Linked DNA regions of Mus musculus: all the other regions are reported to be linked to region 3. Evidence: microRNA targets listed by miRTarBase, many of them from high-throughput screens and not tested one by one. Region 3 holds a microRNA gene; each other region holds the end of a gene's coding sequence.
Evidence for each region. Region 3 holds the annotated microRNA mmu-miR-675-3p (CUGUAUGCCCUAACCGCUCAGU, at 3,756-3,777, opposite strand). A microRNA usually pairs through its seed, bases 2 to 8, with sites in the 3' UTR of a target mRNA and lowers its output. Matches are read on the target gene's strand: a 7mer-m8 pairs with bases 2 to 8, a 7mer-A1 pairs with bases 2 to 7 and ends in A, and an 8mer does both.

Region 1 (7,118 bases), not on the chromosome of region 3:
TTCTCTTCTCTTCTCTTCTCTTCTCTTCTCTTCTCTTCTCTTCTCTTCTCTTCTCTTCTCTTCTCTTCTCTTCTCTTCTCTTCTCTTCTCCTCTCCTCTCCTCTCCTCTCCTCTCCCTCTCCTCTCCCTCTCCTCTCCCTCTCCTCTCCCTCTCCTCTCCCTCTCCTCTCCCTCTCCTCTCCTCTCCTCTCCTCTCCTCTTCTCTTCTTTTTTTTCTTCTGTGTAGCCCTGGCTGTCCTGGAACTTAACTCTGTAAACCAGGCTGGCCTCAAACTCAAAGATCTACCTGCCTCTGCCTCCCGAGTTCTGGTATTAAAGGCGTGCACCACGACCACCTGGCTTCTTTTTTTCTTTTTTAGATAGGGTCTCATGTAGCCCAGGCTAGCCTCAAACCTGCTATGTAGCTAAGAATGGCCTTAACCTTTGATCTTCCTCCTTGCACTTCCTGAGTGCTCGGATTACAACCACGTACCACCATAGTGGCTTGTGCAGTGCTAGGGATGGAACCCAAGGCTTATGCATGTTAAGCAGGTGTTCTTTATAGCCTTGGGGCAGGCCATTCTGTACAAGAAACCTTTTCCCAACAAGATAAAACAGAAGGAAGAAACTATGAATGGAACCAAGTGACCTTAGCCCATTAGAACAAGCATGCGGCCATTCTCACCTGTGCTTTCACTTCCACAGACCCTTCTGGCTGGTGGACGGGTAGACTACGAGGCAAGCAGGGCCTGTTTCCTAACAACTACGTCACCAAGATCTGAGGCGCTCGGAAACTGACACGTGGGCAGAGGAGCTCCAGGCGTGGACCGGGGAGGGGACTTTTGGGGACTCCTCTTCTGATCGACAGTGAGCAACTGCTACACCAAGGCCTGAAGCTATTCTGACACCTTCCCCCATGGAAGACACAGAAAAGCTTGGGTTAGGGACAAGGACAAGTTATGGGTCACTCCACAAATGATCCTAAAAGGTAGTCTAGTTCCCAGGAGCGCAAAAAACACCACCCACTAAGATTTATTTATTGTATTTAAATCTGGTGTAAGTAGCGGGGACTGCTTGGTGTCTATCCCACAGCCTCCTGCCCACTCACCAGGTCCAGGGGACAGCAGGCGGTGACTCGATGACAAGTGCCTTTAGTTGAAGAGCACATCTCACTCATTCCTCTCTCAGTACCTGATACATTCCTCTGTGCTAACCCCCCCTTGGGGAGGACCCACCCTCTGGAGGCTGGACTTGGGGCGAACAGGCACTCACCTGTCACTGCCAAGGGCGGGCAGGCCATCCTTCCGAGCCCATGGGAGCCGGGACCACTAAGACTGCTGGTGGGAAGAAGTTGGGTGCTGGGCTGATGGTCTTGCTTTCTCTTGGTCTTCGCTTGTAATGTGGCTGGCCCATGTTGGTTTTATGTTTAATGCTGTGCTTATAATAAGAAAGAGCCCCCCCAAGCTGTACATTTATAAAAAGTGATCATATACTGTATATAGAAAAATCTAGAAGCACATATGAATGCAGCAGGTAGTATTCCACTGTACCCATTCATGAAGGTAGGTTTTATTACAGGACTCGCACCAGGTACTTACAGACGCGCCCTCTCCTCTTTGCCTAGAGAAACAGTCACTGCATTCCCGCACAGTCCCTCAGACCCCCTTACCCTCTCCCTGTAGGAAATTCTCCTGTGACCCCTCTGCCGTCCTCCCTTACTTCCTAAATAAATGTAACGGAGTCAGTGCAATGCCTTGTTTCTTCATGACATTTATTGTGGGTTATAATTTTCTCCTAAAAACAAAACCAGTGGTATGGTCATACCCACCATTGTTTCCCCACTTTCCATGACCGTCACAAACATCTGGGATGAGCACCTTGTGAGCAGGAAAAGTTATGCTTTAAGAAATTTCTGGCCAGGCGTGGTGGCATACACCTTTAATCCCAGCACTCGGGAGGCAGAGGCAGGTGGATTTCTGAGTTCGAGGCCAGCCTGGTCTACAAAGTGAGTTCCAGGACAGCCAGGGCTACACAGAGAAACCCTGTCTCGAAAAAAAAAAAAAAAGAAACAACCAACCAAAAAAAAAAAGTGGCACACGCCTTTAATCTCAGCACTTGGGAGGCAAAGGCAGGCATATTTCTAAAAGGGGGCTGGAGAGATGGCTCAGTGGCTAAGAGCACTGACTGCTCTTCCGAAGGTCCTGAGTTCAAATCCTAGCAACTACATGGTGGCTCACAACCATCCTTTTCTGGTGCATCTGAAGACAGCTACAGTGTACTTAGATATAATGATAAATAAACCTTTAAAAAAGAAGATGAAGTTTCTGTCCTTGCTCTCTATTCTTGAAGTATAACAGGAGAATCAAATAATTAAAGAGGGGGCTGGAGAGATAGCTCAGCAGCTAAAAGCACGTCCTGCTTCAATTCTCAAAACCCACATGGTGGCTCGCAGCCATCTGTGACTCCAGATCCAAGGGATCTGATACCCTCTTCCAGCCTCCACAGGCACCAGGCTTACATATGATATACCGATATACATGCAGACAGAACACACACCACTGATGATGATGACGACTGTAAATGGTTTAAAAGGGGACATGCAGCTACATAAACTCAGCACGGTGATGAGTGTCTGTAATCCCAGCACTTGGGAAGTATGAGTCAGAGGATCAGGAGCTCAAATTCATCCTCAGCGGCACAGCCAGCGTGGGACAGGTGAGATCCTGTCTGCAAGCAAACAAACCACCCAAAGGAACCTAGACAGTGCTTCAGAACGAACTCGTAAGCTACCTCCTTAGTCCCAGAGACTATGCTGAGTGGTGCCTTGATCTTTTCCAACCCTGTGAGGGAAAACTCATCCGCATGGGTAACATCATCGCATCGAACGGTCCGTCACCAACCAGAGTCAAGCCAAGGTCCTTCCTGCTGTGGCCAGGATGTCTAATCCTCTAGTTTCGGGATGTACAGGGTTTTATTATAGCATGATTTTGATTTTTACCACTTACATGTTTTACTGACTCATGTGGAACACTTCAGCTTTCACATTATTCAGCGGAAGAGTCTTAAAAGTCCTCACGGCACCCTAAAAGCTCCTGAGTCTGGTCATTTAGAAGAATTATTTATTTATTTTTTTTTTTTTTTTTTATTTATGTATGTGGGTACACTGTAGCTGTCTGCAGACACACCAGAAGAGGGCACCAGATCCCATTACAGATGGTTGTGAGCCACCATGTGGTTGCTGGGGATTGAACTCAGGACCTCTGGAAGAGCAGTCAGTGCTCTTAACCGCTGAGCCATCTCTCCAGTCCCAAGTCAGGGCATTTAATGTTTAAGAAAAAAATGTAGCAAAGGTGGTTAATTTGACTACATCTGGAATTAGCTAAAACCCAAGTGGCTTGGTATACCTGTGAGGTTTTTCGTTTTTTGTTTTTGTAATTAAATAATTTGAAGTAGGAAGATCTATCTTTAATCTGGGCCACACATTCTGCTGGCAGTCTATATAAAGGACATGGAAGAAGGAAGCTATCTCTCCCTGCCTGCTTGCTCTCACTCTTCACTGGCAAGTCCGTTCCTTTACCGACATTAGAACCTACTTCAAGATTCTGGCATGCACTGAAGACCAGCCTTGTGGACTGAACTACTGGATTCTTGGATTTTATGTTGGTTGACAGCCATTGTTGGGCTAGCTGCATCACAGCCTGTAAGCCACTCCAGTAAATTACACACATACACGCACGCACGCACACACACAACCAGTTCTGTTCCTCTCGAGAACCCTGACAAATACATAAGGACATTATAAACCATCTTTGGAATATGCTCTCAAAAATCTACCTTTTCATGACATCAAAGGTTGTCCTCCAGTTTCCACATGCACATGCATGTGTGTACACGTGTGCATACACAAGCCACCCTCTCCTGACAGCCAGGGTTGTCCTCGGGATCCTACATGAATTTGAATGCATGTGCACACACAATCTGTCATCTGTTGGAGAGAAGCTGAACTCCAGCATCTTTGAGAAGTTGCAGACTTGTGGTGCTAGGAAAACTCTGTTCCTTGGTTGCACTTCCTTACTGTTCATTCTGAAGGAAGCTGGTCCAAGGCTGCCATGGGAACGAGCTTCCGCTAACTTAACAAGGGCTATTTATAAAACTCTGTAATAGGATTTCAAACCGTAAAGATTTTTAATGCCACACACACACACACACACACACACACACACAATGTTTGAGACTTATAGAAATCCTCATCAGGCAGCCCTGACTTCCTCAAGAACGGGGAGAAGCCAGCCATCACTGGAAGCAGGTCTTCCTCTTGTTCCTGCCATTTTCAACACAGCAGATCACAGGAGACCAGACTGTGGGATCTGCTGTCAGGCAGAAGGCAGCTTTCACCATATGCTCTCAGTTAAGGCAGTGTTGAGTGTCTTAGAGTTTCTACTGCTGTGAAGAAGACACCATGACCACAGCATTTAACTGGGTCCGGTTTACAGGTTCAGAGGTTTCGTCCATCGTCATCATGGCGGGAGGCATGGTGGCATGCAAGCAGACATGGTGCTGGACAAGAAGGCAAGAGTTCCATATCTGCATCTCTGGACCAGCAGGAAGAGAGAGTGAGCTGCTAGGCCTGGCTTGAGCTTCTGAAACCTCCAAGGCCACTCCCCAATCCCCTGGTGACATACTTCCTTTGATATGGCCATACCTACTTTAACAGGGCCTCCTCATGTCCTAATCCTTCCAAATAATACTACTCTCTGGGAGCCTGTGGAGGCCATTTTCATTCAAAGTACCACACAGAGTTAAACGTCACCGTGAGGCTTGGAGCACAGGTGAATTCTGAAAAAAATTAGAACATTTGATGGGCCTAAGTCTTTTCCTCAAAACAGGTAATGTCTTCTCACATCAAGTTGTTAGGAAGTCGCCAGTATAAGAGACACTATGAAGTTCAACAGTTAAGAGCACTGACTATTCTTCCAGAGGACATTTATTTCTCTGCACCTTCATGGCAACTCCTGACTGTGTGTAACTCCAATTCCAGGGGATCCAATGCCCTCTCCCAACCTTCAAGGCCACCAGGCACATACATGGTACACATACATACTTGGAGGCAAGAGCTCATTCATTTAAAAAAAAAGAGAGAGAGAGACTAGGTTTATAATTTTTCTTTGTTTCACATCAGTAGTTGGAACAGATCATGTCTCTGTGGGAGAAGAGATGCATCTTAAAGGGAGTGGGGTGTAGTTCAGTGGTAGTGCACTCGTGCTAGACATGCCAGGCCTGGCGTTCCATCCTCAGCAATAAAGAGGAGGTAAGACATGATGGAAGTGTGTTACTCACTTGGAGCTAAAACAGCACACCACATAAAGTCACCCCAGTTTTACCACAACAGGATGTCTGTCAAAAGCCACTTGCATGTTTGCAATCGGTGGTCACCCCAACTTGGCTGCTCATTCTAGGCTCATCCATCAAGAGAGTCCCTGCCTTACCCCTAGTGAGCCAGCTGTTTCTATCGCAGCGACACGGGAACAGGTGAGGCTGCTCACAGTTATCCACTCATTTGAAGTTGCCTGCATGTGTGTGGCCTTGTGAGAAGAGACCACAGGCAGACATTGGTGGTTGGTGTTGGGCAGGATCTCTAAACGGGACCAAGGAGGGAAGTTGCTGAGCTGCCCCACAGGGTAAAGCTTTTGCACCCCTCTTTCTCTGGAGCTTAGTCTTGCCTTCCCAGCATTCCTTTCTTCTGTCCGTGCCCGGAAATGGGTTCAGCAAACCCTCGAAAGGCACCCGCAACCCTGTTAACATTTTTTGCGAATCTCTCGTCCAGAATTAGAGAGGATCTATCTATACTCAAGGTCACACGCGCCTGACGGAAAATCCTGAGGAAGGCCCGGAAAGTAGCTGTGACCCAACCGGCACTCCGAAGATCCCTTCGGACTAAGAGGACACCCCGGTTAGCCCCTACCTCCCCTGGGAGTAGGTTGGGGTGCTTTGAGGCTTTTCAGCTGGAAGATTTTTTTCCCCCTGAGAACCAGGGCGGCCACTTAGGCTGCCACCCCTAAGCCAAGAGAAAATGCAAACCCGACCTCAAGGACCTGACCATCTTTCTCGGGAGGAAGGGGGAAGAGAGCAGAGTCCACACCTGGGGCCACGCCTCACCTTGATGGTTTCCTAACCTGATACCTGGCTCTGGAGCCATGAATGGCCAAGAGTAAGCAACTGGGGTTGTCTGAAGGAAATGAAGGCTCAAAGCCTTACTCAACTTTGTTTCCTGAGCCATTCAGTAAATCTTAAGTTTTCAGATGCAGGAAAGACTGATTCCAAGCTTGCTGTGAGTTCGATAGGAAGTGCCTGAAATTCAAATGGAGGTGGCTAGGAGGGTAAGTCCTGTCTCCACAATGGCACCCCTGAAGGGCTTTAGCTCTTTGTCTGGAACCTACATGGCTACTGGAAGTTTGTCCTTGCTCTCCCTTGGGGCTCTCAAGGGAGGTCTGACTACTGTGTCTCAAATCGTTAACACAGTTATGTGAAGGCAAGGGAAGGGCTGGGTGGTGGGAACAAGGTCTCCTTTAGCTGTCCCATGGGCAGATGACCTTAGACCCTGAAACTGCTCCCCTCCACACATGCTTCTCCAGCCCTTGGTCTTGCAGGAGACATGGAGCTTGCAGTTCTCTTGGCTTATGGGGGTCCGCGCTAGCCAAAGGGCTGTTGCCTAAGCACTCATGAAGGCCTGCCTGGCTTCCATCCCCAGGACTGCCACAGTCAACCCATGAGAAAATGAGAGAGGACTGTCCACCACAGGATCGATTTTCCAGGTGCCAGTTACAAAGGACTCACTTGACTGAGAGAGAGGCTGGAGATGAAGGCTCTGCTGGGTCTTAAAGCCCACTCTTCCTCCCCATCACCCTCACCCCCCCCCCCATCTCTATTCTTTCCCCTTTGCTGACTGCTTTTGTTTCTGCCCCATGGCTTTTGTTTCCACTTTCCAGTTGCCTTGAGATGAGCAGGCTAAGGATAAAGGGCATTCTGTCTTATTTAGATTGTACTGAGCAATGTAAGTGCTTATCCTGAGTGCTCACAGATCACAAGTTAGAGAAAAGGGCCAAGGGAACGTCTACTCCAGGTTTTTTGAATGGTGGATC
Region 2 (7,111 bases), not on the chromosome of region 3:
ATTGTGTTACATTCTAGTAATTTCAACCATTATTCTGTTTGCTAGGTTCCTAGTTTATTACATTTAGAAGGACTTAATAGTAAAAGTTATTGAATTATTAAAATGTAATATTATGTCTCGCTTTTAAGGGTATTATCAATCTGTCCATATTATTTTGTACTTTTTTTCACCAGTACAATGCTTTGTGGAAAATTTTTCATCAACTTAAAAAGCACTTAACTCTCTTTTTACTGTCCTTTTTGTAGGGCCTACAGGGCACTTAACTTTCTTTTTACTCTCCTTTTGTAGGGCCTACGAGGCATTCTTGTAATGTAGATTGTCTTGCTGGACAGAGCTGCTAGCTGTCTGTCCGTCTGAGATGATAGACCTACAGAATATGTAGAATTGCTGAGTCAAGTTTGCATTTGCTGTTTTGATAGCTGCTGCCAAATTGCCAAATTGGGACAAATGTCTCAAGTTATATCTCATCAGTATTTCCTACACCTTCCAGGTGCTTGTTAGATATAGTACTAACTCTTCTTGTTAGATGTAGTACCATACTCTTCTTAATTGTAATTTATAACTTTACAGAATGTTCATGAAGAAGTCTTACAGGAATATCAGAAGATCAAGCAGGTGAGTACCACGCCTTTGCCTTTCTGGCCTACAGTGAGAAGCAGGGTAAATTCTGTGACCTAATGCCTCACTATTTTCTTTGTCTACAGTCCAGTCCCAATTACCATGAAGAAAAATACAGATGTGAATATCTTCATAACAAGCTGGCTCACATCAAAAGACTAATAGGTGAATTTGACCAACAGCAAGCAGAGTCATGGCACTAAAGCTCTGCTTGGACCAGAAGATGTGAATAAACTAAAGCTTATTTATTTAAAATTCCAGATGAGTTGCTCTAGATTCTAAAAGATGAAACTTTGCTTGTTGGAAGTTTCAGTATTAGTAAACTTGAGTTACTTTTTTTCCTCTCTATTTTACTTTGCTGCCCTGAATTTTGAAGCTGCTTTTTTTCTGGTCCTCTCCCCAACCACCCACCCCCAACCCCCAACTTGTTTGTTAATAGAAGCAATTTTTAAGAGATTGGGGATCCAGTGTCTATACTTCAAATCAATTTTCCTTGATAACTTGTCTTTGTCATTAGCGATGATTTTTTTTTTTTTTAGATATCGGGGATGCAAAGTCCATACAGATGCAAAGAATTGCGTGTGTTTAAAACAAGACAAAACAGTAATGTGCAAGGTGAAAAGCTTTTGGATAAACAAAAGCCTATTTTCTGACCTTTCTTAATGTAAACTCTTTGCCTTAAATGGTAGAATATTTAGACATTTGCACAAAGTACAAAAAATCAAAACATTGTTTTTGGAGGGTTGAAAAATAGAAAGTGAATGTGTATAGTTTTCTATACACATACATACATACATACATACATACATACATACATACATACATACATGCATACATACATACATACATACATACATACATACATACATACGGGCTGTCTGGCTCTAGAGTGTTAAATCTGCCCTAAAAGTTAAACCCCCATTGCAATGGCTGCCTTAAGGTGTTTGCTAGTTGTGTACATCATGTGGTTAACCAGTAGCTACACTGCTTCCCAGTGATAACAGCCCCAGCCCGGGAAGCACACTGTGGCCTACCAGCATCAGAACCTGTGTGTTCTGCTTGTCTGTCTGCAGAGCTGCTGTGGATGTGAGCTGTGTGAAGGTTAAAAAGCTGCTACTCTCAGTAGGCCGGACACTCAGGTTAAAGAGCTGACGAGTGTTGCAGTAGCTTGTTGGTGTGTGTTTGCTTGGTTTTTGTTTGTTTCTGTCAAATTGCTACTTCTATTGTGGAAGACAAAAGCATTTCCATTTCAACAGTTTGTCAGCTTTATTAATGTTGGGCAAAAAATGATATGTTATGAAAATGAAACAGATCTTATAGTTTTGGGGCAAAATGACAAAAATAAATGTGTAGGTAACCTATTTATATACTGCTATAAAGTATTTTTTGAAGAAAGATATGCAAAGAAGCTATTACCTACATCAGATGTATATTTAAATTTTTTTTCATCCTGGATCCCAGGAATATAAAAAGAGTAGATATATTTAACCATAACATACTGTGACTCATCAAATAGCACAAACTTTCATTTCATGGAGTTTATCTGTTAACGTTGATTTAAACTATCACTTGTCTTATCATGTGGGAACATAAGTTATGTGGTCAAAATATAAAGATTTTGAACTAAAGTTGATTCAGGTTGTCTTGTATTGTCTCAAAGTGCTGCCAGTTGAAAAGGGAAGCATTATGTTTACAAATCTGTTTTGAAATGTTTGCCAAAATTTTGGTAGTATCTTTAATAAAGATGTTTGTCTTCAGCATCCAAAAATAAGTGAATAATTTTGACGTGTATCACTGTAAAGTAGAAAATGTTAGTACTGAGGCCTTGTGGCAGTATATGTTGATTAACTTTCTTGTGGAGTTTTCCTGAAATGTCAACTGGAAAGACTGGGTAATGGATCCAAAGCACAGAGGCAGCCAAGCACTGAAGCCAAGATTCCTCTGACGCTACAACTCTGGTATCACTGCACACATTCCATCTCTGCATGGCCTTCTGGAGACTTCCATTTCAGTTTTGAGATCCCTGGTGCTCTTTTACCTTGATAGTGCTACAGTCATTATTAAGTAGAAGTTTATCTCAATCTTTTGAGTTTAAAAAGAAGAAAAGAAGCTTAGTTATGGCTAAATTGGGGCCTCACATTATCATCGTAGATCTCTTGACATAATGACTTCAGGAGTACACTCTGAAGTGTTGGCCTTTCACTGAGATTGTTGCTGTTCTTTGCTATGGGCAATGTTTCTCAAAAGTAAGGGTGTTGAATGGCTTGCTTGCATTACCCACACTACAGTCTCTTGGGAGAGACCAGGCACCCACATTTTCACAAGGTCATTGCAGTGACAGTTGCAAGCTAATGTATAATTGGCTTAGATATAGCTCTAAATTTTAAGTCCCTAATCTTGAAACCTTGAATGTATATACTCCAGCTTTAGCAGATGCTCAATTTGAATTAGGCATGAGACCACCCCAGCTGAATCTGTACTTGAGTTTCTAATCATTTTCTGAGGAAACAAGGCAGAAAAAAAGTAAAGGCATCCATTGAGCCCTGGCATTGAAAACCTGCAACAGTTGATGCCAGCCGTGACTCTGGTGATCCTCAAAGATAAATGGAGGGTCCCAAAGTCGTCATTGTGTCAGCAACCCTTCTTAAAGCTATACCTCTTCATTGGGTAGGGGTTGAAGTTTCATTACATAAAGCTTTTGAGAATTCAATGAAAACTAGCCACCTAAATTAGGTAATTAAATATCTGTGCAACGCAGATAATGTGTGGAATCACTGCTTTTCACATGAGAGTAAGTCCATTTTGACTGACTGCAGAGGGGTAAGGCAGAGATAGGCTTCAGATTTCGAGGCGGAGTATTGGGGTTTATTGAGTGCCAGGCGTATGCATACCTGCTCTTCTGGTTTTGCTCCTCAGAGATTGCACTAGCAGGAGAGCAGTGGCTACAGGTGGCTCTGATACTTTACGATTGCGTAATTCTCAAATTGGGAATCAGAGACATGTCATTTTCAACTTCTGCCTGCCTGGTTCAACTGACCCACCAGGCTGGTTTTTCCTTCTGTGATTGGATATTAGTACAGCATGGGAACTTACAAGTAGACAGTAAGTACCCTTTTCAAGTCTATGAAACTCAGGAGGAAGCTTCCAGAAGGCGAGCCCACGTGACTAGCAGGCATGTTTGCCTTAGACAGCCTAGGGCTTCTTGCCTGCCCATCAGACTTGATGGTTTCCCATTGGGTTTTACAGCTGATTGTGGTGTTTTGTGCTCACCCTGCTCTGCCTAACTACTCTCACTTCCTGCTGTCCAGTACCAATGGTTCCTGCCATGTCAAGGCGCCCACGCTAAAGCAGCACTGCAGCACGTAAGCCCCACTTTCTCCCTCTGCTGATTCCTCATCCTTAAAGTCTTTGTTTAACCTTCCTACCTGAAGCTTGCTCTCTTGATTCTGTGTTCCGCCTTCATGGCCCTTGTCGCAATTGTAATGGGATGCTGGTTCAGCCGATGGAGACTGTTGTTCAGTCCCTGGTCTGAAGCCTCTGGCTTAGTCCCTGGCACTAGAGCTTGGTTAGAAGAATGAGCGAAGCAGACTCTTCACAAAGGTCATATTTAACCTTGAAAGGATTTGGATTAGTGCAGGAGTCTACTGGGCCATCAGGTGGCTGTGTCCTGTTACTGTCTTCTCAAAGCCAGGGTGTAGCCATTGGTCACAGTGGCTGCCTGTAGAAATTCCTTTTGCTGTGGTTAACTGGATGTTTTCAAAGGTGGCATCTCTTTCCAATATTAGCATTCATACCTCCAGATTCCTTCGGAATCTGAAATGAAAATTTTGGGGGATTATTTTTACCATTGGTCGCAACTTGCATATAGGTACTGACTTCATATCCTGAATATCTTTTTATATATTTATGTGTGTGTGTGTGTGTGTGTGTGTGTGTGAGTCAAAGGACAACTTTTAAGAGTTATTTCTCTCTGTTCATCATGTGGATCCCAGACATCAAACTTTAGTCATCAGGTTTGGCAGTTTGTACCTTTACCCGCTGAGCTATTTTAGCTAAGTCCAGTATTATTTTTCTAAACCACTTTCTCTCGATTCTCAAGGACATGGTGGAAGATAAAATTGGTACGCCAAATTTCCAGCATAATCACAGCATTCTAGAGATGTTTCTTTAAATTCAACACGTGCTTTTATTGACATTTATTGTGTTTAGCACTTGCTCAGCCTCCCAAGTGGTGGACACTCTGAGGATAATCGAAGAGCTCTAGTGTTTCTAGTGTAAGGGTCACCACAAACTGCCTTCATTTTGTAATTGGCAAAGCTTCCTGACAGCATATGGCACAACAAGATGAGGCCCAAGAAACTTACACAAACCCCGGGTAGGGCAGGAGACACCTGATTCCGAGGTGAAGATGGAGCTTGATAAGGTACCAGACAAGCACAGCACTGGCCACAGTAGTGCAGAGAATCACTACAGAGTATGATCAAGTGAAGAAAGTCCTCAGTTTCCCAACTGTGAGTGGAATAGTGATGACCTCAGGAGTTGCTATGGAAGTATGTAAGTAGAGATGGATCTGACCCTGGTACATGTAAAGGCATCTGAGGATTTGACACTTACTCCTTTCCATCTTTGATTTGTATGTGCAAAGCTTTATAGCAGTATCAATGAATAAGTCCATTGTGTTTATTCAGAGTTTGGCATGAAGGCAACTGAGCTCCTATGGTAGACACACAATACCTAACATTTTAAAGATGCTGGTCCTGATTTTCAAGTACCACATTAAATTAGCACCTTGGCTACCAGTAACATACACATATATGGAATAAATGATGTGCATTTATTCCAAACTTGAGCTAAACTGAATATTCTCTATTATCGTTATCTTTATAAAAGACAGAATTGTGGAGGGTTTTTTTTTTTAATTTATTTGAAACCATACTTTATGCAATCCAACTTATATAATAAATGACTATAACTAAAGTGCTTTCATATACTTTAAGTATAATTTTTTAAATCAGATTTTCAGGCCTGGAGAGATGGCTTAGCAAGTAATAATACTTACTGTTCTTGCAGAGGACCACAGGTCAGGAGGCTCACAACTACCTGAAACTCCAGGTCCAGGGGATCCAATGACCTTGTCTGGCCTCTATGAGCACTTATGTGGCACACAGCCTTCTATACAGGTACTCACACATACACATAAACCTTTTTTAAAAGTTACTTTTTCTTAGTGACTTGGCACATCTGATTCTCATTGTGCTAATGGTCAAAAAGAATTCCCAACTTTCACAAAAAAGGACAAAGTTTAAAAGCCTCTTTGTAGCCCTAAGGCTTCTTACAGCCCCTCACTAGAGAGTCATTGAGAGGGGTGTTACACATAAGATGCTTTAGGGAAAGGCTTCTGGGAAAAGACTCCTTATAACTAGATGCTGCTCCTCTCAAGGACAAAGTTCATTTAAATCAGACTTGCCTAAAGAGAATAGAGAGGGTCTCCAGGGGTCCTATGGCCACCTGGGCTATAGACTGCAGCTGAGAACAGCTGTAAGGGGACACTAGGGACTGCTGGCATGCCCCTCATCCTTTCCTCTCTCTACTGTTGACAAGTCTCTATTGCTATAGGAGCCAATTATCACCACCCCACCTGCTCCTCCCTTCTCTTGCTTGACTTACTTGAATGAACAATTCTGCTCCTCTCTTCTGTTCATATGCATATCTTAACACTATTTATCTTTGTCTAAAGATAATGTCTTGCAGTTAGTAAGGCTACCAGTTCAGAAACAGAAACCACAAAGCAACACACTAAAGCTTGGGAAGCAGTTGAAATGCTTTACAGGCCTACATCCTGGTGTGCATCTAAATGCTGGAATTGCCAACAGGTAATCCAGGGCAATTTGCCGCAAGTCTGGACTTTGTGGCAATTTAGGATATCAAGATTTGGAATAGATTAACAAATGCTGAACTAGACTGACAACAGCAACATTGTTTGTTCTTACATGTCCCCCTGAAAGGTGCCTTCATCAGTGAAGTTGTGGCAGGTCCTGTACTTTCTCTAGAGCAGCTATTCATAGTCTCTTGTCTCATTAGTCTTGTAGCCAGAACTCTACAGTGTGTTTAAAGTTAAGGCCTTTTCCCTTCCAACCCCAGCTTGCTTTAGGCTAATAGCTAAGCACTTCTTGCCTTTCCCTCTCCTCTTACCATTCAGCTTGCAGCAGGTTGAAAGGAAGGGAGCAGGTGGGGGCTATGAGACAGGAGAGGTCTTGGATGGCACCTTTGAAATTGGCCTTGATTTCTTTCAGACACTGTCAAGCTCGTGGACATCTCAGACCTTTCTGTGGCCTCTGGCTGCTGGCCAGGCCTCTCCTTTGGCCAGCCTTGGTAGTCTCCATTTTCTCCTACCTCATAGGCTATCTGACTTTTTCAGGCAGGAAGCTAGACACTAGGGCCTCTTTTTTAAATTGATCATATAAACTAGAGAAATTGTATCTGGGTTCTTACT
Region 3 (7,118 bases):
GCTGGCTGGAGGGTGGGGGGCTGGGCCACCTCTGTTTTCCCAGCCCCTACCCGTGGGCGAGGCTCTTGAGGCCCAAGACCCACAGGCACACCTGTTTGCAGAGCTTTGGTGATTTGGGGGCATCTAGCCCCCACCAGCCTGCACCTTGAGGTCCTGCCCCACACATCCATCCAGTTTTTCTGGGAGAGCTCAGAACTTTCTGCCTTAAATAAAGGAGGTGTGGATAAACTCAAGGTAGGCCTTGTCCTGTGACACCCTCACTATCTGTGACATTCACAGGAGTGGCTTGAGGAGGCATCCACCATGAGCCGGTGGGAGAGGACGGGAAGGAGCAATTTCTCCCTTTCCACACTGGCACCCTCATCTCCCCAGATTTGTCTTAGCGTCTTCTGGGTAGAACCCCAGGGTAAGAATGTGTGACTCCAGCCCCCTACACCTCAAAGCCTGTGTAAAACTCACATTTAGCATGCTAGGACCAGGAAAGCAGGGCCCAAAGGAGGTAGCTCATGTCACCCCTGAACCCCCTTTCCACTCTGTGACTCTATTTCTGTGTCTCTTAGATAGAGGGCCTTTTTGGGTACCCTTACCCCAATCTCCAACATCCATCCCCTGTGACTACCTCCAGTGCCTACTAGCTGTCCCTGCCAACGTGTCTTGTAAGGCAGCAGCTTTTGTCTTCTGAGCCTGGCTTTTGCAGGGTTGGGTGGTCAGATGTTTGGAATAAAGGCTGTTTGTAGACACCCCACCCCCACCCCACGACAAGCTGCTTTGTCACTGGGGCAAGTAACCTCTAGTAGGGTCAGGAAGATGGGCATGTTCTGACTGGAAGCTTTTGAAAACCTCTATGGAGGTGATCAGAGAAACACCCACATGCCCAGTGGGTGCCTAACCACCCTGTCCAGGAAGACCACAGAGGTCTCCCTCCCAGAAAATTAGAGGGCAAAATGATGGCGAGAGAAAGGGTTGTGGAGGGTCCAGAAGAGAGACCAGGCATGTGGTGGGGGTGGGGAGAAGCTGGCCCACTGCCCAGAGAGGGTATGGGGTGGAGAGGGTGGGTGTTCCTGACAGTCAGTCCTGTCTGGTCTTTGTCAGCTGGAGGAGATTTTCTTGACTGCTATAAGCACTGGGGCTTGGGGCTGGGGATGAGAGCCAAGGACCCCAGCCTCTTTTTTTTTTTTTTAATCTGCTCTTCAAGTCCCTTCCCAGTATCTGTACAGCTAAGAGTCTAGGAGCTAGGAGGCTGGTAGGATGCTCAGAGACGTGGGGGTCAGCTCAACCAGTTGCTGTCTCTATGAGGACACTAATAGCAAACCTATGGGGTACTACGCTTCCACCCTAGGAAGCAAGACCTCAGTGACAGTCCTTCATGTACCTGTCATTCATGCTGACCTCCCTGTCCTCCCTGGATATTCACCGTGCCCTGTGTTCTGAGTTATATTCAGACTTGTGCATGTCCCTATCTCTCTGCTGTGGCCCTTCAGCTCCTATCCACAGCAGACAGCAAGGGGAGGGTACCACTGCAGGCATCGACGTGGGCTCCAGTCCAGAGCTTAGCATGCTTGGAGCAGGAGAGGGAAGCCCAGAGGCCACCATGGGCCTCTTTATGTGGCTGTGGTCTACGCAGCCTCATGTGTAGCTGCCTACCCATTACGAGCCTTACTGCAAGGAGTCAGATTTACTGTGCAGTCTACATTATGCCTCGGGAGTTGGGATTAGTGTGAGGACTCAGAGTCATCCAGGCAGGACCTTGGGAGCAGTGTAGAATCCAGGTTTCTGGCTGGGCCCACCATCTCTCATTGCTAAGGATGTCCTTCACCTCCCCAGCCTCTCTGTCTTGAGGGACCCTGCTCACAGCCCTGCCTCTGTCTCCGTATGGCACTCTGGCATTTTTTAATTGTGATGTCGACTGCTTTGCCCGTTCTTCAGGCACCATTTCATATTCATAGGCCCCTTCCATACCATAGCTTCTTGGCATCCCATGAGGCCTTTCGCTGTGTGCCATCCCATGAGCCTCCTATCCCAGTGCCACCCACCTTTTCATAAGCCATCTCCTATTCCCCATTCCATCCTAGAGGCCCTCCCCATTTCATTATCCCCTTCATCATGGATGGTGTACCCTATCCCTTTTATTCCCCTTCCCTCATTTCTTTCCCCTGCCCCCCCAACCTCCCCCCATGAGTCGCATTATATTGAAGTCCACGAGACCAATGACTGTAACTGTATTTATTGATGGACCCAGGACCTCTGGTGAGGCCCTGGTGAGGAGGGGCAAAGGATGAAGTAGGGCATGTTGAACACTTTATGATGGAACTGCTTCCAGACTAGGCGAGGGGAAGGCGAGGCCTCAAGCACACGGCCACACCCAGTTGCCCTCAGACGGAGATGGACGACAGGTGGGTACTGGGGCAGCATTGCCAAAGAGGTTTACACACTCGCTGTATACATTCATACGGAGAGACTCAAAGCTATCTCCGGGACTCCAAACCAGTGCAATCGACTTAGTGCAAATTCAAAAGGGGGTAAATGGGGAAACAGAGTCACGGGTGCTTTGAGTCTCTCAAGCAAGGAAGGAACAAAAGGAAAGAAACAGAATTACAGGAAAGGAGGAAGAAGAAAAAGACAGGAGGGAGATGATGAAGTCATCCCGGGGTAGAGGCTTGGCTCCAGGATGATGTGGGTGGTGGTCTCCCGGGTCAGGCAGAGTTGGCCATGAAGATGGATTCTCAGGGGTGGGTGGGTGCTATGAGTCTGCTCTTTCAAAATGTTGACACCATCTGTTCTTTCAGCTTCACCTGCAAAGAGAATAAAGACAAATGAGGTGGGGCGGGGGGTGGGGTGGGGAGTGGGCTTGGCAAGCTTCCAAAGGGTGCCCCAGCTCACCTTGGAGCAGATTCCTGAGGCAGGTAGTGTAGTGGTTCTGATTGCAGCATCTTCTTGATTCAGAACGAGACGGACTTAAAGAAGTCCCCGGATTCAAAGGCCCAGACATGAGCTGGGTAGCACCATTTCTATGGGTGGGAGAGAATGAGACCCCTGTCCTTGGCATCCCACCCTCTCCCACCCACATGGGGCAGAAGAGAACTCACCTTTCATCTTGAGGGTTCAAGGTAGGGGGAGGAGGATCCAGAGAGCAGCAGAGAAGTGTTAGCTCTTTGGGAAAAGTGAAAGAACAGACGGCTTCTACGACAAGGCGCCAGCCCATGGTGTTCTGCAAAGGACAGAATCCTGAGTGAGTGGGTGGACAATTAGGTGGTTGAGCGGACTAGCCCTGTGGCAGGGAGTATGCTCACCAAGAAGGCTGGATGACTGCCCTTCTGTCCTCTCCATCACACCGGACCATGTCATGTCTTTCTGTCACATTGACCACACCTGTCATCCTCGCCTTCAGTGACTGGCAGGCACATCCACCTCTGCTGGAGACCTGGCTATAGGGAGAAATGAAGACATGAGTTAATTGAACTTGCGTGGGAGGAGACTGGGTGACCACGAGCGGGACAGACACTTACCCTAGTCTCCAGTCCGAGCTCTTCGAGACACCGATCACTGCTCCGTCGCCGCCCGCAAGGCCCTCCTTGGCCACGGACTCTGGAGGCCAGTGCCTCCCTGGCTCACCACCCCAGCTACTCGCTCTACCTGCACCCAACCTCCCTCCCTAGAAACTCATTCATTCTGCCCCGCCTGCCTCGCCTCGTCTGGCTTCATCCTGTGCCCTTGACTCCCCTGGAAATGTTCTGTCTGTCATGCCAGACCCAGGGACTGAGCGGTTAGGGCATACAGTGTACCAAGTCCACTGTGGGCCCTTTCCGCACCAGTCCCTGGGCCGCAGTGCCTCATGGGAATGGTGTGTCTGCAGGCTGGACCCACTGCAGCCTCCTTGCTGTAAAATCCCTCTGGAGTCCGATACCTGCAGCCCCCACTCCCCTTCTGGTGACACCCTGCACTGCCCTTCTTTTCCATTCTCCAGTTATTGAGGCTCTGGCAAACTTGGGACTTTGCCAGAGCCACTCTTGAACCTTCTTCTAAGTGAATTACGGTGGGTGGGATGTTGTGGCGGCTGGGGACCCATCTGTGTCTTGTGACCCCATCTTGCCCTGTTTGACCCCAGCCTAGAATGCTTCTGTTCTTGCTGGATCCCATGGTCTCTGCCACTGTCTCCAAGGACTCCTATCACCTCCCTGGAGGCAGCGGCCTCAGTCTTTACTGGCAACCCTGCACCTCTTCTTTCTTCTCTCTAAGAGCTCTTTCCACCTGGGGTCGCCAATGGTCCCCCAGCCTCCTTCTGTCTCGGCTCCCCCCGAGACGATGTCTCCTTTGCTAACTATCCTGCCTTTCTATGTGCCATTCTGCTGCGAGGCCAGCCGCTTCTTCTCACCAGGCCCCCTCTCTAAACCTTCGTTTAGAAGGTCAGTGGAGCGAGGCCAAGAGAGAAGAAGGAGACTCACCTGCCCAGCAGACGGCGGTCCTCACCTGCCCACTGCTGCCAGCTATACCTTCACTGCCCAGGTCTGGGGTCGAACCCTTCCCAGCAGCTCCCCTTTATCCGACCAGCCGCCACGTCCTGTAACCAAAAGTAACCGGGATGAATGTCTGGCTCCCCATTCCTCTCCAACCCTAGCTCAGGCCCTTCAGCTTCACTCCGATGTTTTCCAGCCTTTGCGATGCCTTTGCTCTGCCTGAGCTAGCCCCTCAGTCCTTCAACATTCCTGCCAGACTCCAGATGCCGAGGTGCTCCTCGGACCCCACGACTCTCCTCCAGCTCTCCCATCTTCCCCAGTTTCCCCGATACCCCCCACCCCCACCCCCCACCCCCCTCCCACACCCGGTGCTTCGGGCCCTCTAGCCCGGGCTTTTTCTAACTGGAGTGGCTCCGCCCAGAATTCCCGCCCCTACTCTGTCAACCAATCAGTACATGGCCCCGCCGGGGCCCCCGCAGGGCCCACCTCCACCCTGTATCGTTCCAGCGCACGTTCGCCTCACCCCACACCCGCACCCGTCCTGAAATTCTCCAAAGACAGCCTCACCACAACTCCCACTTTGGAATCCCTTAGACAGGGCCTGGCATTGTCCCCAGATATCTCCCTTGATGTCGAGAACATATAGCCCCGTAGCCTGCTGAAGCCCTTCATAGAACGGTGGTGCCCCAGGCACCCTGCCACACTGAAGCTGCCCTTTACTCAGTTTGTATAATGACCACAATGGGAATTTGAGGGCATGGGTCTCATACTATCCCACGGAGTATGAACAGCCTACGAGTGGCTAACCCCCAGCCTTTGTCCTAGTCTGCTTGACTGACCTTATCTGGCCGCAGTGGTTTCAACAAGGTAGTAGCTAATTTGGGCACTCCTCACCGTCCCTTTTCTGGGTGAGTCGTCACGTTTGTCAGGACTCTCTTGCGATGAGTTTTATTAGTTATCTTACAGTCTGGTCTTGGTCACCCCAGTCAACCGGAGGCACAGTATGGTCTCCCTATCCTACTGAAGTACTACTATCAGTGATAGAATGGGGACAGGAGAGATGCCCTGTCCCTCCAGCCACGTGCGTGCGTATACCATTGCTCTTAGCTTCTGTTGAAAGTTATGCAGCTGAAATCCACAGAGTCAGCATCCACAAATCAGGGCACCAGAGAGTAGAGCAGCTCTAGATGGAAGTGACCGGAGCTCCAGATGGGAGGAGGACTCAAGGGCTGACCAGTCATGACCACTCAGCAGTGGTTCTCACCTATGTGAGGTGCAATAGCACCTTGGCAGATCCTCAGCCTAGTGGCTGCATGTCAGCTGAGTACTCATTTCTGGCTCCTAGTGATCCTTCATTTTTACTCTGTGAAAAGCCCTGGTCATTGCTGTGGGTGGACCCTAAGTTATGATACTGACGGACACCTCCAATTTGGTCATAAATAGACCCCAGCCTCTATTATCTTGGCGCTGTAATGTGTGTCTGTGCTGTCACCTTGTGGTGGTTGTGGCTATCTCTGCGCTCTTAAACAAATGATCCTTTTCAGAGATCGGTATATAAGATGGAAAAGAATGACCCCATCTTCTAATGAGCCTCAAGAACCCTGGCAGCATCAGCAGACTAAAGGCCGAGGGTTGGCCATCACATGTAAGCTATTCACTGGTGTGGTGGCAGTTGGTCTCTGTCTCCCATCACCCCCCACATCACCCTTGCTATACTCCCCTATACTTCCCACTATATCCTCCCCACTACACCCCTGCTATATCCCCCCTGTCATCCTCCCCACCATACCCCTTGCCATACCCCCCACCATACTTCCCCTATGGCCCCCATACTCTCTGCTATACCCCCACTATACCCTCCCTGCTATACCCCCACTATACCCCCGCTATGTCCCCCACTATACCCACACTATACCGCCCCACTACACCCCCATTATACCCCCACTATGCCCCTCCTGCCATGCCCCCCACTATGTCCCCCATTATGCCCCCGCTATGCCCCCGCTATACCCCCACTATAACTCCCTCTATATCCCCCGCTATACCCCTACTATACCTCCCACTATACTTCCACTATACCTCCCCATTATACCCCCTCGCTATAACCCACGCTATACAACCCCACCATGCCACACCCGCTATGCTCCCTCTTGCTACCCACCCTCCTGCTTCACTTCAAACTAAGCGGATCCCTGACTTCTCCTAGTCTCTAATCTCAGCTTTGCAACTTCTTGCTACAGTTCCTAGGTTACCTGGGACATTGCAATGGTTGAACCCCAGCCTCTGCTTTTATGGCTATGGGGTTTCGGTGGACGCACGCACGCGGCAGTTTCTATGTCTCCCGCCTATAACCGATTCTGTATTGAGTTTGGATTGAACAGATCTGGCTAGCTTGAGGAGTCCCAAGGCAGAAGGGGACCATTCCGTAAGTGCACAAATGCCTGATCCCTTTGTTGAACCTGGGGTACTCAAAGCTTTGTCACAGCGGACCCCAACCTATGCCGCGTCTGCCGAGCAATATGTAGTATTGTACTGCCACCACGCGGCATCGTCTGTCCATTTAGCTATAGCCAAATCTGCACAGCGTGGAGAGTGAACCGATCGATCGTGAAGGGCGCAAGACTGAAGGAGCTACCCAAGAAATGTGTGTTGTACCACCCCATG
Region 4 (7,118 bases), not on the chromosome of region 3:
TGTTTCCACTTTGGGCCTCAACCCTATGTAGTTCCTCACTTTGGATATGTTGTGTAATACACATAACTATTAGTTCATTAATACATGTGGATAATTTATAAATAAATATTAGGTTGAACCACAAGAAACTGCTGATACTGAAATTGTGTTCCTCTATGAAAAGTGACTGCTGTCATGGTTTGCTAGCATGTGTTGGAAATATGTGTACTCCGGGTTTTTATTATGATTCACATACAAGAACACACTGCAGGCTCCTGGTCAGAGGTCTCCCAGCTCCACCCCCCACCCCCCCCCCCCCAGAAACGCCGTTTCCAGAAATGATAGGGAGCTGCTCTGCCTTCCCTTTCTGAAGTGGCTTCTTAGATTAGGAAATATCTCAAAGCCAGTTCTTGGGCTGGCCAGATAGCCCTGCGGGTTGAGTTTGATCCTTAGAACCCACAGTTCAAAAGCTGAGAACCGACTCCCTGATACTGACCACCCGTGTCTACCAGTGATCCCAGCCAGCAAGTGGGAGGCTGAGGCAGGAGGAACGTTCCTATCTCAAGCTATCCAAAACAACAAAAGCAAGCCAAATTCCAGAGATAGCTGCCTCCTCCTTACTGACTAATATTCCCTGCAGTGTGCTAGTTTACTTAGCCTGTGCTCTTACTGACTGTTGCTGTCGTAGGAAATGCCTTCCGTCATCTTGCAGATGAAGGCTTTCTTGGGATAGATTAGTAGGCCTGCCGAGTCAAGAGCTCTGTTTCCTAGGTGACTGAAGTACCAGGTCCCCTCCAGGGTCGACTGTAGGACACTACTGATGACACTACCTCTTTCCCCACAGCCTGCCACATCGACAGGACTCGATTCATTTGGAATGGCAGCTCATGGTGATATTTTAAAAAAAGATTGATTGATTGATGATATGTAAGTACGTTGTAGCTGTCTTCAGACACCCCAGAAGAGGGCATCAGATCTCATTATGGATGGTTGTGAGCCACCTTGTGATTGCTGGGATTTGAACTCATGACCTTTGGAAGAGCAGTCAGTGCTCTTAACCGCTGAGCCATCTCTCCAGCCCACTCATGGTGATTTTATTTAAGTATATGCAATTATTATTTTTTCTCCTTGATTGTTCTTCCAGCCTGTATGTGTGTATGTGTGTATTGTGTGTCTGTATGTGTGTCATGTGTGTGTTTGTGTGTGTACATGCTTGAGTGCATGTGTGTGCAACACGTGCTGCTGAGGGGATGGACACGTGTTGAACACATGTTCCACCGTTCAGCCGTACTTCTTGCCCAATAATTTTTCTTGGGTAATTTATTGCCCAGACAGTCAGAACTTCCTGCGAATGCCTTTGAAAATTCACTGCTTAGACAAAAAGAACACACCTGTGAGCTAAGTACTTTGGGAACTGAGGTAGGCAGACAGCCCGGCACTGCATGTTGAGCGAGACCCTGTCCAAAACAAATGCCAGAAGGAGTTCCCCGTCTGTTTCGGGTTCTGCTTTGCATATTGTCCCAGACAGAGTTATACTTCTACAGCCCGTTATTTCAGACCTCATGGAGTCATTCCTACCCTTGCCCCCTGAAAGATGTCAGTGGTTTGGGGGGTATTAGCAACTCCAAGCTAGCAAGCCACTGGCTCCAGGCAGTAGTAGTAGTATCAGGAGCTGCCAGAAGGCGGCAGCAGGGTGCCACATGCCTGGGATGGCTAAGTCATTCCTCCCACGGAGTCTTCATGCTGTTCCTTAAACGGGTAAGCAGTTTAGGGTCACCAGCTGCTGCTGCCTTGAAAACAGCTTCAGAAGGCACACCCTCGGTTACAGACTGGGCCTCCTCCCCCTCCAGGAACTGACTGGAGGGATTTACATGCCATGGCCTAGGATGGCACGGGCTTCCCTAATTACAGGGCCCCACTTCCTGCCTCTTTCAGCCAAGTCTCCCACACCCTTCCCATGAACTAGGAGGTCCACAGGACAGGTTCTTGCCATCCAGTCTGCTTTGGGCCTGTGATAGAAGATCGAAGCCTAGGACAAAGGCTCTGGGGTCCTTGGGCTTCCTTCTGGCAGAGCTTAGCCAGTGACCCTCTTCCCAGTTCTGTCCGCTCACCTTACCCCACTCCTCCTTGAGATGGGTTAACCTGTGTGTACTGTCCCTGGGGAAGGTGGGCAGAGGACCTTGGTGGTAGGAAAAAAGGGAAGTAGGAAATGGAGCTGCAGAAATGGGCACTGGCCTTGCCCCCGCAGCTGGCTACTCTAATCACTGAAAGACACCAGCAGTTTAGGGCATTAGCAGCTCCAAGTGGGCTTTGCACGGTGGCTATTTTGTCCTTTGTGGTACCAGCATCTTCAGGGACTGCCAGGTCTTCCCAGAGACAGAGTGGAGAGTGACCCAGAGCAGGGGTCCTTCACACACACACCGTTACGGGCTGGCTCAGTCTGGCAGGGCATACAAAGCTTTCCTGTCTCAGGCTACATGCAAAGGCAGACCAGTCGTTTTGACTTCTGAGCAGGCTGGGTTCCCCCCCACCCCCTCTCAAGGTGTTAGTCTTGTGGAGCAGAACTTGCTGAAGCACCTAGAGTTCACTACCTGCTGGTACAAGTGGGAGGGGAGGGTGGGAAGGCCCAGCTCAGCTCCCAGAGATCATTTCCCAACAGAGAATTTGCATACACACCAGTTTCCCCATCACCCAGCTTGGCTCAAGTAACCAGGAAGAGCTGGCATAAGGAGCAGCTGGGGCGGCTGCTTGGAATTTGATCCCTTGCAGCAAGCCTGGTGGCTCGAGCTTTGGTCTTGGGAGTTACATTTTGTCCCTGCCGCCCTCCCCGTTAAGCTCCCACGTGGATCACTGTGGGTCAGGCAGCTGAAGCCCTGAGAGAAGGGCAGTGAGTAGCCAGGGCTGCCTGCTAGTGAGTGGGGCGTGAACTGGGGCCTCACTGCCTCTAGATGCTGCTAGTTAAGGTCTTCTTTTGTAATGTCTGGAGAGGTGGTGTGTCTTTGTGCCCATTTCACAGGTGGAAGGCCAAGGTCCCGTGTGATCCAGTGCTACCTGTCTGAGTGGCCTCAGTGGCCAGGGGACAAGAGGTGGTGAGAACTTTGGAGTTAATGCTGAAGCAAGTCACAGAGAAGAAACAGCCTTGGCTTTGAGCCAGGCTGCTTGGGTAGCCCTGCCTGGAAGCAAGATTGAGAAAGAGGCCTGGAGGCATGGCCACGTGGTTGGCTAGTCCAGCTGAGCCAAGCTGTCAGGAAGCATGGGCACCAAGACAGGCATCAGAAGGCCTGAGCCCAGAGCCCGGTCCTAGCTGGCACCTATTGTTTGAATCTGTAGCCCTCACTGGTTTCAGTGGACCAGCAGGGCCAGGCCCTGCCTTCTAACATTAGCCATAGCCAGCTGGCACTCATGCTGCTGCCTGCCTGTGGAGTCAGCCCATTTCTCACCCCCATAGGACAGTCACAGATGACTTCAAACTCCGGCTAAGAAAGCCAGGACAGTGGAAGAGTTCTTCTCACTTCCCCTTGTGAGCGGCCCCTGAATCTCATGGCCCCCAAAGCTCCACAGTATGGTACAGACAGGGCCGTACTGAGCAGCCGAGTGGGCGAGCATTCTACTTGCTTCAGTGGGAGGAGCAGCTCACTTCCCATTTCTGCAGAGGCTTGAGTCACAACAGTCTGGTGTCAGGTTTTGGGATCAGGAAGGGTACTGAAAGCCCTGCCCCAGCCTGCCTTCCTCCGTGGGACCTTGGGCAAGTCATTCAGCATTGCCAAGCAACTGATAATGAACCCGACTGTCCGGTATTTTAGCTTCCTATCCCATAAAGACAAACAGATGCCCACAGACGGCCGTTTAACCTGAGAATACATTGGCGCCCTTGTGTGTCCGTGTGTTTTATTTCGTGTGTTTGAGACCAGAGTCTCATGCAGGCCAAGTTGGCCTGGAACTTGCTTTGTAACCAAAGACGGCCTTGAACTTGTGGCCCTCCTGCATCTTCTTCCGGGATGCTGGGATGGCAGGTGTACGCTCCAACACCAGGTGCTGAGTATTGAACTCAGTGCATGGTTGGCTGCCTTCCCAGAGCCCTGGACAATGTAGTTCCTTTGTAAGAATAAATAAGGCATTGCCGTCTCTCCTTATGCTGCTAACAGCTCCCGAGGAGGCCGGGAGGAACACGCATGGCATAGACACCTTTAATTCCTGTGGGAGGGAAGCTTCCAGCTCCTGCATGCCAACGGATCCTGATGTTTGTCCTAAGCAGGCACTTCTGGAAGGGTGGTCAGGGAAAAGTTGGGCGGAGCTCGTGGGGAGGATTCCCACAGTGACATTTTCTTCCAGAGCTTCACAGCTGTTCTGTACGGAAGTAGTTTTTAAAACAGAAATATGCACTAAGGTACACCGACTACTAAGTACAAATATCAGAGGAATTGTTCAAAGGTAGGATTATTAAAGCTGTAATTCCGCCTCCCCCCACCCTTTTCCTTGGCTGGTAATATTTGCTTAGGAATTGTGTGATAGCCTAGCCTTTCATTTAAAATATTCATGTTCATCTTTGAAGTTGGAGCTGGGAGGAGGGAGGAAGGTGTTATCTTGCCTGGGCTTGTCTAGGGCTGATGAGCAGTTTGACGTGGTGGATGGGGTCAGTCTGTGTGCCTGCCCACAGGAGTCAGTTATGGAAGCCTTCTAATGAGCAGTGCCTGTGCGGCAGGAGGCAGGTCACATACCTAGCATGTATTATCTCACTGAACCCTCATGACAAACCTGTAAGGTAGCTGCCATTAGGATTCCCATTTCATAGATGAGGAAACTGAGGTCTGGGAAGGATAGTCCCTTGCTCCAGCTGGTAGAGTCAGTGGCAGGGCGTCTCCAAGCTGCTGCTACTACCCCAGCCCTTCCTCCAGCTCTGCAACCCTGGTTCCTTGGACACACAGCAGATCTGGAAGGAGGAGCCTGTGTGCAAGCACCCAAGGGCTCCCTCACCTACTTGGATCACACCGCCCTCTGTGGCCCTGATCAAATCGTTTCCCTGTTTCCTACCCTCAATTCTTGTCATCAGAGAAAAGAGGAACAGCTTCATCCCTGCTGTCGCCCGCCCCGGCACCCCTCTACCCAGCTGAAGCCACAGGGCTCTGTGCCGTTACACTTCTTCCTGCAGCTGTCACCTGCTACCTTGCCTCCTATTAAGGTTCAGCTCCAAGGGACCAACTGCTTCTGGGAACCCTCCTTTCTGAGGACAGGGAGTGACATCTGCCCTACTGGCCTCCTGTCACCCCAGAGCAGCTCTACCCACCAGGCACAGTAAGGACAACTTCCTCTCAAAACGACTGGCAATAGCTTTTTTTTTCTTTTAAATTTCTCTCTTTTTTAAAAGATTTATTATTGTATGTAAGTACACTGTAGCTGTCTTCAGACACCCCAGAAGAGGGCACCAGATCTCATCACAGATGTTTGTGAGCCACCATGTGGTTGCTGACATTTGAACTCAGGACCTTCAGAAGAGCAGTCGGTGCTCTTAACCACTGAGCCATCTCTCCAGCCTGCCTGGCAATAGCCTTTATTTTGTCAACCTTTTTCATTTAAAATATTTAAATCTCGCCTCTGTACACAGCATACATGTGTCCTCCCACCCATGGGAGGTGTGGAAACAGAGGGCCTTGGAGCCCTGGTTGGGGGGGGGGTGTGTAGGTGGACAGAGCGGGCAGGGGAGGGGCTTAAAGAAGCATCTTGCTTACTAACATGAAGCCTCATGCCCTGTGAACAGGGATGAGGCCGCATTGGCTTGAGGGGGCCTCAGAGAGCAGGCACATGGTGCCTAACTAGCCGGTGGTGCCGGCGTCCCAGGGACAGGGTGGAAGGTGGGGTCCAGCTCAGGCCTCTGCTCCCCCATGCCTCCCACCCGGCCCTCTGAGAAAAAAAAAAGAGGGTTTGGGCATCAGCCACGGATGGACGGCCTGACCGGCAGCGTCTCCTTAAATGACAGAGATACAATGTGTATCAACAGGGTGATCACTTCTGACCTGTGCGGGACGGGTTGGGGTGCCGCGGGGCCAGAACCAATCCTATGGTATCTTTGGTTTGAGGATTCCCTTGCCTGCTTCACTTGTCCTTCTGTCCAGCTTCCAGGGTAGGCCAGGCAGGGGCTGGGGACCGCTATCTGTGATGCCCGACAGCCCCTTGCGCCACCTTCTGGCTTACTCACTGAGGTGCTGGGACTTGTAAGACAGGATCTCTGCGGCCAGCTGCTGCGGATCCAGCAGCTGTGGGAAGCGTCTCATTACAGCTTCTACCAGGTGTGGGGGGAAGACACCACACAGCTTGGTATATACACCAGCCCTTTCTTTGGCCAGGTCACCCACCCTGCCCCAGGGGCCCCCACCAGCCCCGGGGCTGGGTCTCTGGGGCTCCTGAAGGACAGGAGTGGGTGGGGGTAATGGGTACGGCTCAGACCAGTACTCTCTGGATGGGTAGGTGGGTGGCGGGGGCACATAGTCGGTGGGGACACTGAAGTGGCCAGCACCCATGGCTGGTCTAAAAGGAGAAAAGGAAGGTGCTGCTGGGACCTTGGATCCATAGCTGTGATAACCTGCATAGGGGCCCCGAGTGGGGCCCGACTCCCCAGGGCTGCCTCCTCGCACGCCCCATAATTCTGACATCTGGCTCTCCAGGGAACCAATGCCTGAATCAAGGCACTCCTGGGAGGTGTATGGGAGTGAGTCCTGGGTGTGTGCAAGCCACTCTGTGGGCCCAAAGCTGCCCCCACTAACAGGGAGGCTCCTGCCAGCTGGAGCACAGGTCTGCGGTGAGCCTTCTCGGTGGGGACCCGGAGATGACCTGGCACCCAGCTTTTTCCCATCCAGGCTGCCTGGTTCAGCCTCTAGGGACACAGAGCTGGACTGAGAGGCAGGGGAAGGCCTCTGGCTACTTTTGTCCTTGACTGGAGTCCTGGGAGGTGAGAGGAGAGCGTTGGCACGGAGCTCATCGGCCACAGAGCGCTGGGGACGGCTTGGCCGCTCAGGGTGGAAAAATCGGCACTTGATTCCATACGTACATTTCTTCCCTGCAAGAACAGAGAGGGTGTCTAAATGGGGTCAGAGCGAGGACGAGGCACAGACTTGGGATTCAGGTGGTCTAGAACAGGGGGTCCC

Region 1: the mRNA of Myo1e is a reported target of mmu-miR-675-3p. Seed matches in the 3' UTR shown: 7mer-m8 at 1,908-1,914.
Region 2: miRTarBase lists Ell2 as a target of mmu-miR-675-3p. Seed matches in the 3' UTR shown: 7mer-m8 at 1,448-1,454.
Region 4: miRTarBase lists Zc3h12a as a target of mmu-miR-675-3p. Seed matches in the 3' UTR shown: 7mer-A1 at 5,353-5,359.

Annotation. Positions count from the first base shown.
Region 1 is chr9:70,398,038-70,405,155 of GRCm38, forward strand. Myo1e (myosin IE) reads left to right here. Exons shown (of 28, transcript NM_181072.3): 28 at 685-2,030. The coding sequence ends at 761. Among named protein-coding and RNA genes, the nearest start is that of Mir5626, 4.2 kb to the right of the region's middle.
Region 2 is chr13:75,769,976-75,777,086 of GRCm38, forward strand. It overlaps Ell2 (elongation factor for RNA polymerase II 2), which reads left to right. Exons shown (of 12, transcript NM_138953.2): 11 at 571-615; 12 at 705-2,386. The coding sequence ends at 821. Among named protein-coding and RNA genes, the nearest start is that of Ell2, 66 kb to the left of the region's middle.
Region 3 is chr7:142,573,323-142,580,440 of GRCm38, forward strand. Mir675 (microRNA 675) reads right to left here and starts at 3,825; the gene lies at 3,742-3,825. It overlaps H19 (H19, imprinted maternally expressed transcript), which reads right to left and starts at 4,824. Exons shown (of 5, transcript NR_130974.1): 1 at 3,507-4,824; 2 at 3,291-3,421; 3 at 3,087-3,208; 4 at 2,881-3,008; 5 at 2,208-2,792. RefSeq lists an enhancer at 1-590.
Region 4 is chr4:125,113,115-125,120,232 of GRCm38, forward strand. It overlaps Zc3h12a (zinc finger CCCH type containing 12A), which reads right to left. Exons shown (of 6, transcript NM_153159.2): 6 at 5,300-7,030. The coding sequence ends at 6,165. It overlaps Meaf6 (MYST/Esa1-associated factor 6), which reads left to right. Exons shown (of 8, transcript NM_001374123.1): 8 at 1-124. Among named protein-coding and RNA genes, the nearest start is that of Zc3h12a, 11 kb to the right of the region's middle.